Ovis aries: one gene and its partner. The protein of the gene in region 1 interacts with the protein of each later gene in a biochemical or structural test. Links are inferred from orthologs where the notes say so. Each region holds a gene or a part of one and is shown on either strand. Other genes may lie near its edges. The genes, in order: STAT2 and IFNAR1.

Evidence for each region.
Region 2: the proteins of STAT2 (region 1) and IFNAR1 form a complex in vitro, tested with the Homo sapiens proteins (2 studies listed by BioGRID). The link is inferred for Ovis aries from reciprocal best matches to the Homo sapiens genes STAT2 and IFNAR1.

What each region holds. Positions count from the first base shown.
Region 1 is NC_056056.1:163,224,673-163,228,489, forward strand, and holds part of STAT2 (signal transducer and activator of transcription 2), read left to right. Parts: intron 1-348; coding exon 349-485; intron 486-657; coding exon 658-840; intron 841-1,062; coding exon 1,063-1,120; intron 1,121-1,905; coding exon 1,906-2,222; intron 2,223-2,505; coding exon 2,506-2,648; 3' UTR 2,649-3,630; coding exon of another isoform or gene 3,631-3,792; 3' UTR 3,793-3,817. UniProt on the Homo sapiens protein: Signal transducer and activator of transcription that mediates signaling by type I interferons (IFN-alpha and IFN-beta).
Region 2 is NC_056054.1:122,862,284-122,866,100, reverse strand, and holds part of IFNAR1 (interferon alpha/beta receptor 1 precursor), read left to right. Parts: intron 1-2,995; coding exon 2,996-3,177; intron 3,178-3,817. UniProt on the Homo sapiens protein: Together with IFNAR2, forms the heterodimeric receptor for type I interferons (including interferons alpha, beta, epsilon, omega and kappa).

The DNA of each region.
Region 1 (3,817 bases):
GTGAGGAAGTGAGGGCTCAGGGAGATTAAGGGAGTTATACCAGGGGGACAGTCGGGGTTTGAACCCAGGGCTGTCTGACCCCACCCCTGTGCACTTTCCACCACAACTGCCTGCCCATTTGGGCAGCACTTTGCCTTTTACAAGGTGCTTTTCATCTGTGTGATCTCACTGAAGCTTCACACCTCTTCCAGCCCTGGGAGGTGGATACTGTTGGTCAAATGAAATGACTTGGCCTACACAAAACAGTCTGCAACAGGTTGGCAGAACTGGGGCCCAGCCCTGGCACTCTGTCCCTCTACAAGAGGAGTAGGAAGCAGCAGGACCTCACAGCTGCTCTCTACGCTGCAGACGTATCATGGGCTTTGTGAGCCGGAACCAGGTGCGCCGGCTGCTGAAGAAGACTGTCTCTGGCACCTTCCTGCTGCGCTTCAGTGAAACGTTGGAGGGGGGCATTACCTGCTCCTGGGTGGAACACCAAGATGATGGTCAGCAGCTCTACCGTTCCCTCAGCCTCTCCTTTCCTCCCCTCTACTGCCCTTGGCTTCCCTGGCTCTGTCCCAAATCCCTTGGCAGATTTGGGGTTGGGCAGCCAGGGTGGGAAGCCCTCGGGCCCAGCCTCTCCTCTCAAGCCTGCCTGTTCCTACATCTGCTCTCTAGACGAGGTGCTCATCAACTCTGTGCAGCCCTTCACCAAGGATGTGCTGCAGTCACTCCCACTGACCAAGATCATCAGCCAGTACCAGATGCTCACAGAGGAGAACATACCCGAGAACCCACTGCGCTTCCTCTACCCGCGAATCCCCCGGGATGAGGCTTTTGGTTGCTACTCCCAGGAGAAAAGTGAGAACCATTGATACATTTCACTGGTAGAGTGCAGGGGTCCACAGGCATCCATAAATGCAGCTCTTCCATTTCAAGATGGGAAAACCGACATCCGAGAGGGGAAGGGATTTGTCTGTGGGACGCTGCTAGTCAGTCAGTAGGACCATCTGCACTAGAGGACCCTGGGGCAGTGTGTCCAATCCACTGACCTCCTCTGCCTCCTGTGTCTGTCCCCCGTAGTTAATCCTGAGGAGCGGAAGAAATACCTGAAACATAAGCTCATTTTTGTCTCTAACAGGTGAGATATGAACTCTTTGCCCACCTTCCTTAACCCTTTTTGGCTAATATAGTGACCCAGACCTGCCCAGTTCTGGTCTCCTCGGCCTTCTCTCCTCCAACCCAGGCTCCCCAGCCCTCTGGGGGTTTTTCTCCTACCCTTTTAGCCTCTATTTTCCTGCTGCCATCCCTAGGTTGTCTCCATGGGGGTTCCCTGACAATAATCATCATCATCACTAATGCAAAGCATAGTACTAGATTCTTTTAGAACATGTTTTTTTTTTTTTTTCCATTTAATCCTTATGAGAACCCAGCCAAGCCAGAAATGGTAATAGCCACAGTTAATGAAAATTCATTATGTGCCAGGCACTGGGCTAAAAGCTTTGTGTTCTTTTTCTTATTTACTGACTTCATAACAGTCCTGTGAGGCAGAAAATACTGTTATTACTGTTTTCAGTTGAGGAACCTGAGGTTTAATGTGGTGAAGTGTCATGCCTCAGGTACATGGCTAATCAGTAATCCAGGTCTCTCAAATTCCAGAGCCCTGATTTTAACCATCCTCCTGCCTCTCAATTATTCTGAAGTATGGTTGTTTAGGCTCAGAGAGGTTGGGTCATTTTGCCTAAGGTCCCCCAACTAGTAAATGATAAGATTTAAACTCTAGTAAGCCTAATTCCAGAGCCTATGGTCTTAAGCCCTCTGCTCTGTTGCCTTTTTAGACTAGAAGGATAGCCTCTGCTTTCTCTGCCATTCCCCACTTCACCTAAACAACTGAGCCCTGCTCTTTTGTCTGTATTGGGTATCCAGACAGGTGGATGAGCTGCAGCAACTGCCGGAGCTCAAGTTGGAGCCAGAGCTGGAGTCATTAGGGTTCACATCAGGGCCTGAGCACGGGCCAGGCCTGGACTTAGAGCCACTGCTGGAGGCAGGATTGGATCTGAGCATGGAGCACACGCTGGAGCGCACGCTGGAGCGCACACTAGGCGAGGTGTCACAGGGAGTCCTAGAACCACACCCAGGACCACAACTGCAGCTGGAGCCTATTCCAGAGCTCGATGTACAGGCCATACCAGAACCAGATTTGCCCTATGATCTGAGACACTTGAACACTGAGGACATGGAAAGTAAGTGATGATGTGCAACCAGGGAAGAGAGGACACATTGCCTTTCCCAACTCCCCTCCCTCACTCGCTATAGAAAAAGCCTATGTTCTAAGCTCCTCATTGGAGAAAGGCTGATTTCCCTGCAATTCATTTCATTAGGAAATACACATGCCTCCCCCAACCCACCTAATGCCCCCCTCAGGCCCTATCTAGGCCTCTGCTGCCATCCTCTCTCACTTTCCCTGCTGGTTTGGGAACTCCTACTCTGAGATCAGGGCCTGACTTCTTTCTCTGGATGATCCAGTCTTTAGGAACAGCATGAAGATTGAAGAAATCATGCCAAACGGTGATCCACTATTGCCTTGCCAGAACACCATGGATGAAGCTGACGTCTTCAGCCCCAGCCACTTCTATGCAGATGGGCCCTTGAGCCCTTCTGACTACTAGGAGCTACATTTCCTCAGATCTTTCTGTGCATCTGCCCTCCTACCCCTCACATCATGACACTGCTCTCCAAGGATGGACATGAGGCATGTGCCCCTTCTAAACTGGGTTAACCCTGGGGGAATGTGAGGGAGAAGCATAATATGGGTGAGGGAGAGGCAGCAATGAATCAGAAGAGATGTTACCCATGGCTCCGACTAGGAGCCTGGAGGCTGCCTGCTGTGCTGGGAGGTACAGGCATTCAAGGGCAGGCCAGGACAGTTAGGAGGTTCCTGTATGGCTCAGGGCAGTGGCTTCTTTCCAGTATGGAAGGCTTTCAACATTTTAGTGACTGATAAGACTAACCTGGTGCTCATTTCATCTTTCTGGAATGCCCTTTCTGCTCATAACAGCTCTGACTGTTGGCCAAGAAAGCAGGGAAGGAAGCCCTGGGTCAAGGAGCAAGAGAGGGCCACGCCTAGGAACGATACTTCCCAATTGCAGTCCCTTGTAACCTCATTCAGCTTGCTCAGCCTTAGCAGGGATTATGGCCAAAAAGATCCCAGTTACTCTATATACCAAGGGGTCACAAGGTAAGACCCCTTTCCACCATAGCCCTGCAGAACAGAAGGATGCATTTTATAGTGCTTTGACTCTATTTTTCCATTCTGTTTCTTTTTACTGACAAGCCTAGACTTAGAGATCCACATAAATAAGTCTTTATTGAAAAAGGTACATAATTCAGTATAAATATAATAAATAATCCTCATCCCCAAGCTCCTGCCACTATAAATAATCCCAAAATTTCCCTTCCCATATAATAAATATTCAGCCTCTCCTGAGTCAACATCATAAGTCAGTCAGTTTTGGTAATTTTTCAACAGAATAAGTCTCATTAAAATTAATGGACCGATGAACTCATTGGCTCACAGGTGTCTAGGTTGATAGATTGATCTTAACATTACTGAGCCATGGAGGTCTGGGTGTCATCCTTAAGCTGCTGGCTTTAGGGGCTCAGAGTTGCTGCTCCGTGGGCAAAGACCCGGGCAGCTACAGCCACAAAGGCCTGGAGGCTTCGAAGGATCTTGAGACGGAGAAGGAGGCGCTGCCATGGCTGGCTGGGAATAGGGCTTGGAGTCTGCTCAGCTTCCCAGTGGTGACCCTTGGGCTGAAAGGACACAGGACACAATCAG
Region 2 (3,817 bases), on another chromosome or scaffold:
GTGACTGACATCTAAAATGTATTATGACGGGGCTTCCCTGGCGGTCCAGTGGCTCAGAGTCCACCTGCAGTGCAGGGGACGCTGGTTTGATCCCTGGTCTGGGGAGGTTCCACATGCTGTGAAGCAGCTGGGCCCAGACACCACAACTGCTGAGCCCACACTCTAGAGCCCGAGAGCCACAACTACGAAAGCCCATGGGCCAGAGCCTGTGTTCCGCAGCAAGAGAAGCCAGGGTAGTGAGAAGCCCACGCGCTGCAGCTGGAGGGCAGCCCCCGCTCTGCACAACGAGAGAAAGCCCACATACAGCAGCAAAGAGCCGGCACAGCCAAAACTTGCAAAAAGCTTTTTTAATTATAAAATGTATTATGATGTTAGGTAGCATGGTGTTTTTATTCAACAAATACCAATTGCCTTTTATGCCGAATACTTTCCTCAGTACTTGGGGTTACGTTAGTGAATAGAGAGACAGATGGCATGAAGTTTTATTATGACAGTGGTTTCAAGAAATGAATTTTCTATTGATTGCATATTTATTTTCAAATTATATTTCTACTCTGATGTAAGTACTGTATATGATAAAGTTTTTTTAAAAGAAAATGTAAAAGAAGGGGCAATAGCCCCCTTACGTCTCCTGAGCAGAAAGAACAGACGTGGAGTGAAGGTGGGTTGAAACCATATCAAGGCTTAGTTACAAATTTTTTATAATGTTTTCTGCTTATAATAAGAGCTCTGCAGGTAACAGGAGAAGAGATGCGTTACTGGCTTTTTGCCTGGAGCTCACTTTATTTCAACCCTCTGTGCCCCTGATTGAAAGAAGTCTGTGTACCCTTCCCACTTCCCAGACGTCCTTATATCTCCTGATTGCTCTAGAACTGTATTTTCTAATAAATGACATGGGGGAGGACTGAATTTTGGTTTAGATGTTTAAAATCTGAATTTTTAAAAATAGATTCTAATGTGGAGGAGTTTCTCAGGAAGATTTGCATGTAAATTAAGGTGTTAATACTGCTTGTGAAAGGGAAGTCACAACTGCTTGACGCAGGTCATTCTGTTTGGGAGCACTTCTCACCGCTGTGATTTTTCTGACTAAATCCAGACTTGTCCACATGTTATGTGTACAGTCTCAGGAAACAGATGTTTCTGGGCGAAGGATGTCCTGAGTGAGGGAATATATGTATGCCACATATGCAAACAACTGGCAATCAGGCTGCCAGTCATGATTTCCAGAAGCTTCATGAAGGATTTCTATCCAGATGAGTTATCTTTCTGAACAGAATTGTAGAAATGTCATAGCATTTTTGTGTACTCCACTGTTGTGCTGTTATCTCTGAATTATTTTTGATAATTTAATAAAAGGTTGTGAACATTAATAAACAAAGGTGTTATTAATGCCAAGTCTACTCAGAGTTCAAGCAGGTAAAGTTAGAAGGGCAGACTGGCCAGGAATGAAGTGTGTCCATAGGGTAGTTTTTATTATTGGCACCTTTAAAAAAAAAAAATGTTTCTTTTTTTTGAAAAATAAGGTAGACTTGAGTTGGAGTCAGCACCAAAATTATTTAGATACCACTCCTACTTTCTATTGCTTTTAGTAAAGAATATGCTTAGCTTTTTAAACAACTTTTACTTATTTTTGGCTGCCCTGGGTCTTTAGTTGCAGCCAGTTGGAGCTATTGTTTTTGCAGAGCGCAGGCTCTAGGTGCGAGGTCTTCAGTCGTTGTGGTGCATAGGCCCAATTGCCTTGGAAACTTCCCAGATGAGGGATTGAACCCATGTCCCCTCCACTGGCAGACAGACTCCTAATCGCTGGACCGCCAGGGAAGTCCATCCTTTAGCTCTTTATTAAAGACACTTTAGCATCTTTAATATATAAACATGAGCTTATGCTAGAACTATGCATTAGGCTTAAAAAAGTGTCTTCTCAGAGGTTAGTTTCCCTGTTTGGTATGAGGCAGACAGGGCTTTCCAGAGGCAAAAATTCTGGAATCTAGTATTTGTTTTCTGTTGCTCACCTTCACTTCAGCGTCCTCTCCTCTTTGCGGCAGCATGGCCTTTTTGTTTTAGGCACCCTGTGTCAACTTGATTTCTTCATGTGCTTTAAAAAAAAGTCTAGTAGCAGTCACTTAAGCTTGCTTCCTGGTGAGCTGAGTCCGCATGGAGAAGTTTGTTAGCTTATGTTACCATGTTACGTTCTTTGTTTCTGGTGCTATAATAGAAGGAATTGCAGAGATCAGTATGCAGAAGGGATGGTTTGGTTTTAAGCAGAGCAGAGGAAGTTCTCAAACCATACTGATTCTGAGGTCTTGCTTAGGGCTAGTAAATCTCTTCCTAGGAGGAGATCAGAAGGGAATCAAATCCAGTTTCCAGATTTTCAGTATGGAAGAGAGGATCCAGAATAGGAAGCAGTTGGCTGAAAGTGACACAACTATTTTTAACAAAGCCAACAACACTAAGTCCTCTTTCGTCTTAGGAGTTCTTTCTCTGCTTCTTTGAAATCCTAATGCAACCACCCACAGAATTACAGAACTTTATTAAGTTGAGGGTATGTTAGAATGATTCCACTGTATAAATAATAACTTGGCTGTATATGCAATGAAAAAGAGTAGTAGAATGCTACACACAAAAATATTATCAAAACATTAACTGAAGTAGAGTTACTAGAAGAAATAACTACTTGCCTTAGCTTAGAGGCTTCCCTAGTGGCTCCGAAGGTAAAGAACCTGCCTGCCAGTGCAGGAGACACGGTAGATGTGGCTTCCATCCCTGGGTCAGGAAGATCTCCTGGAGGAGGAAATGGTAACCCACTCCCTTATTCCTGCCTGAAGAGTCCCACAGACAGAGGAGCCTGGTGGGCTACAGTCCATGGGATTGAAAGAGTCAGACACGACAGGGAGACTAACGCACACACTGGCTTTATAATGTTAATGCCAATAGAAAACATGTTTGTCACTCTTGTATTTATAATGTTCATTCATTCATTTGCTTTTTTATCTTGAAGACTAGGGACGGATAACTGGAAAAAATTGCCTGGGTGTCAACATATTACTAGTAGCAAATGCAACTTTTCTTCAGTCGAGCTTAAAGATGTTTTTGAAAAAATTGAATTGCGCATAAGAGCAGAAGAAGGAAACAACACTTCTACATGGTATGAGGTTGAGCCATTTGTACCATTTCTAAAAGGTAAGAAAAAGTTGCCAGCTGAATTATATTGAATTCTTTATTAAATATTACCAGCACAGGTCACTTCCCAAGCCCACTCATTTGCATGATATAAAATCTCCCATCTTTTAAAAAAACCAAAAGAACAAAGATTCCCTTAAACTGGTGTCTCCTTCCTGCTATGACTTCATTTTCCTGCTTTCCTTCTAGTGGTGTTTCTCAGAGGGTGGTCTCCAAGAGATCTGTCAAGTCAAAACCATTTTCCTAATGGAAACTTACTTAATAAAACTTACTTGCCTTTTTCATCTTCATTCTGTCGTGGGTGTACCCTCTAGTTTTTTAGAGGCTGTTTGATATGAGATGGTGACTGACTGGTGATGCAGAAGTGGGTGTGAGACACAGCTGTCTTCTTTATTAGGCCAGACATTAAAGAGATTTGAACAAAATGTGAGATGAACACCACCCTCTAAGTTTTGTGGCTTGTTTTGGAAAATACAGTCATTTATTATTATGCAATAGGTTTCATCATTACTGTTTTTTAATGAATTGATAGATATTTTACATTGTTATCACTTTTGACATCTGATAATGCTGAACATTCAAAGACACAGCCCATGTAAACAAGAGCTCTTTAGGACCCTCAATATCTCTTAAGTGTAAC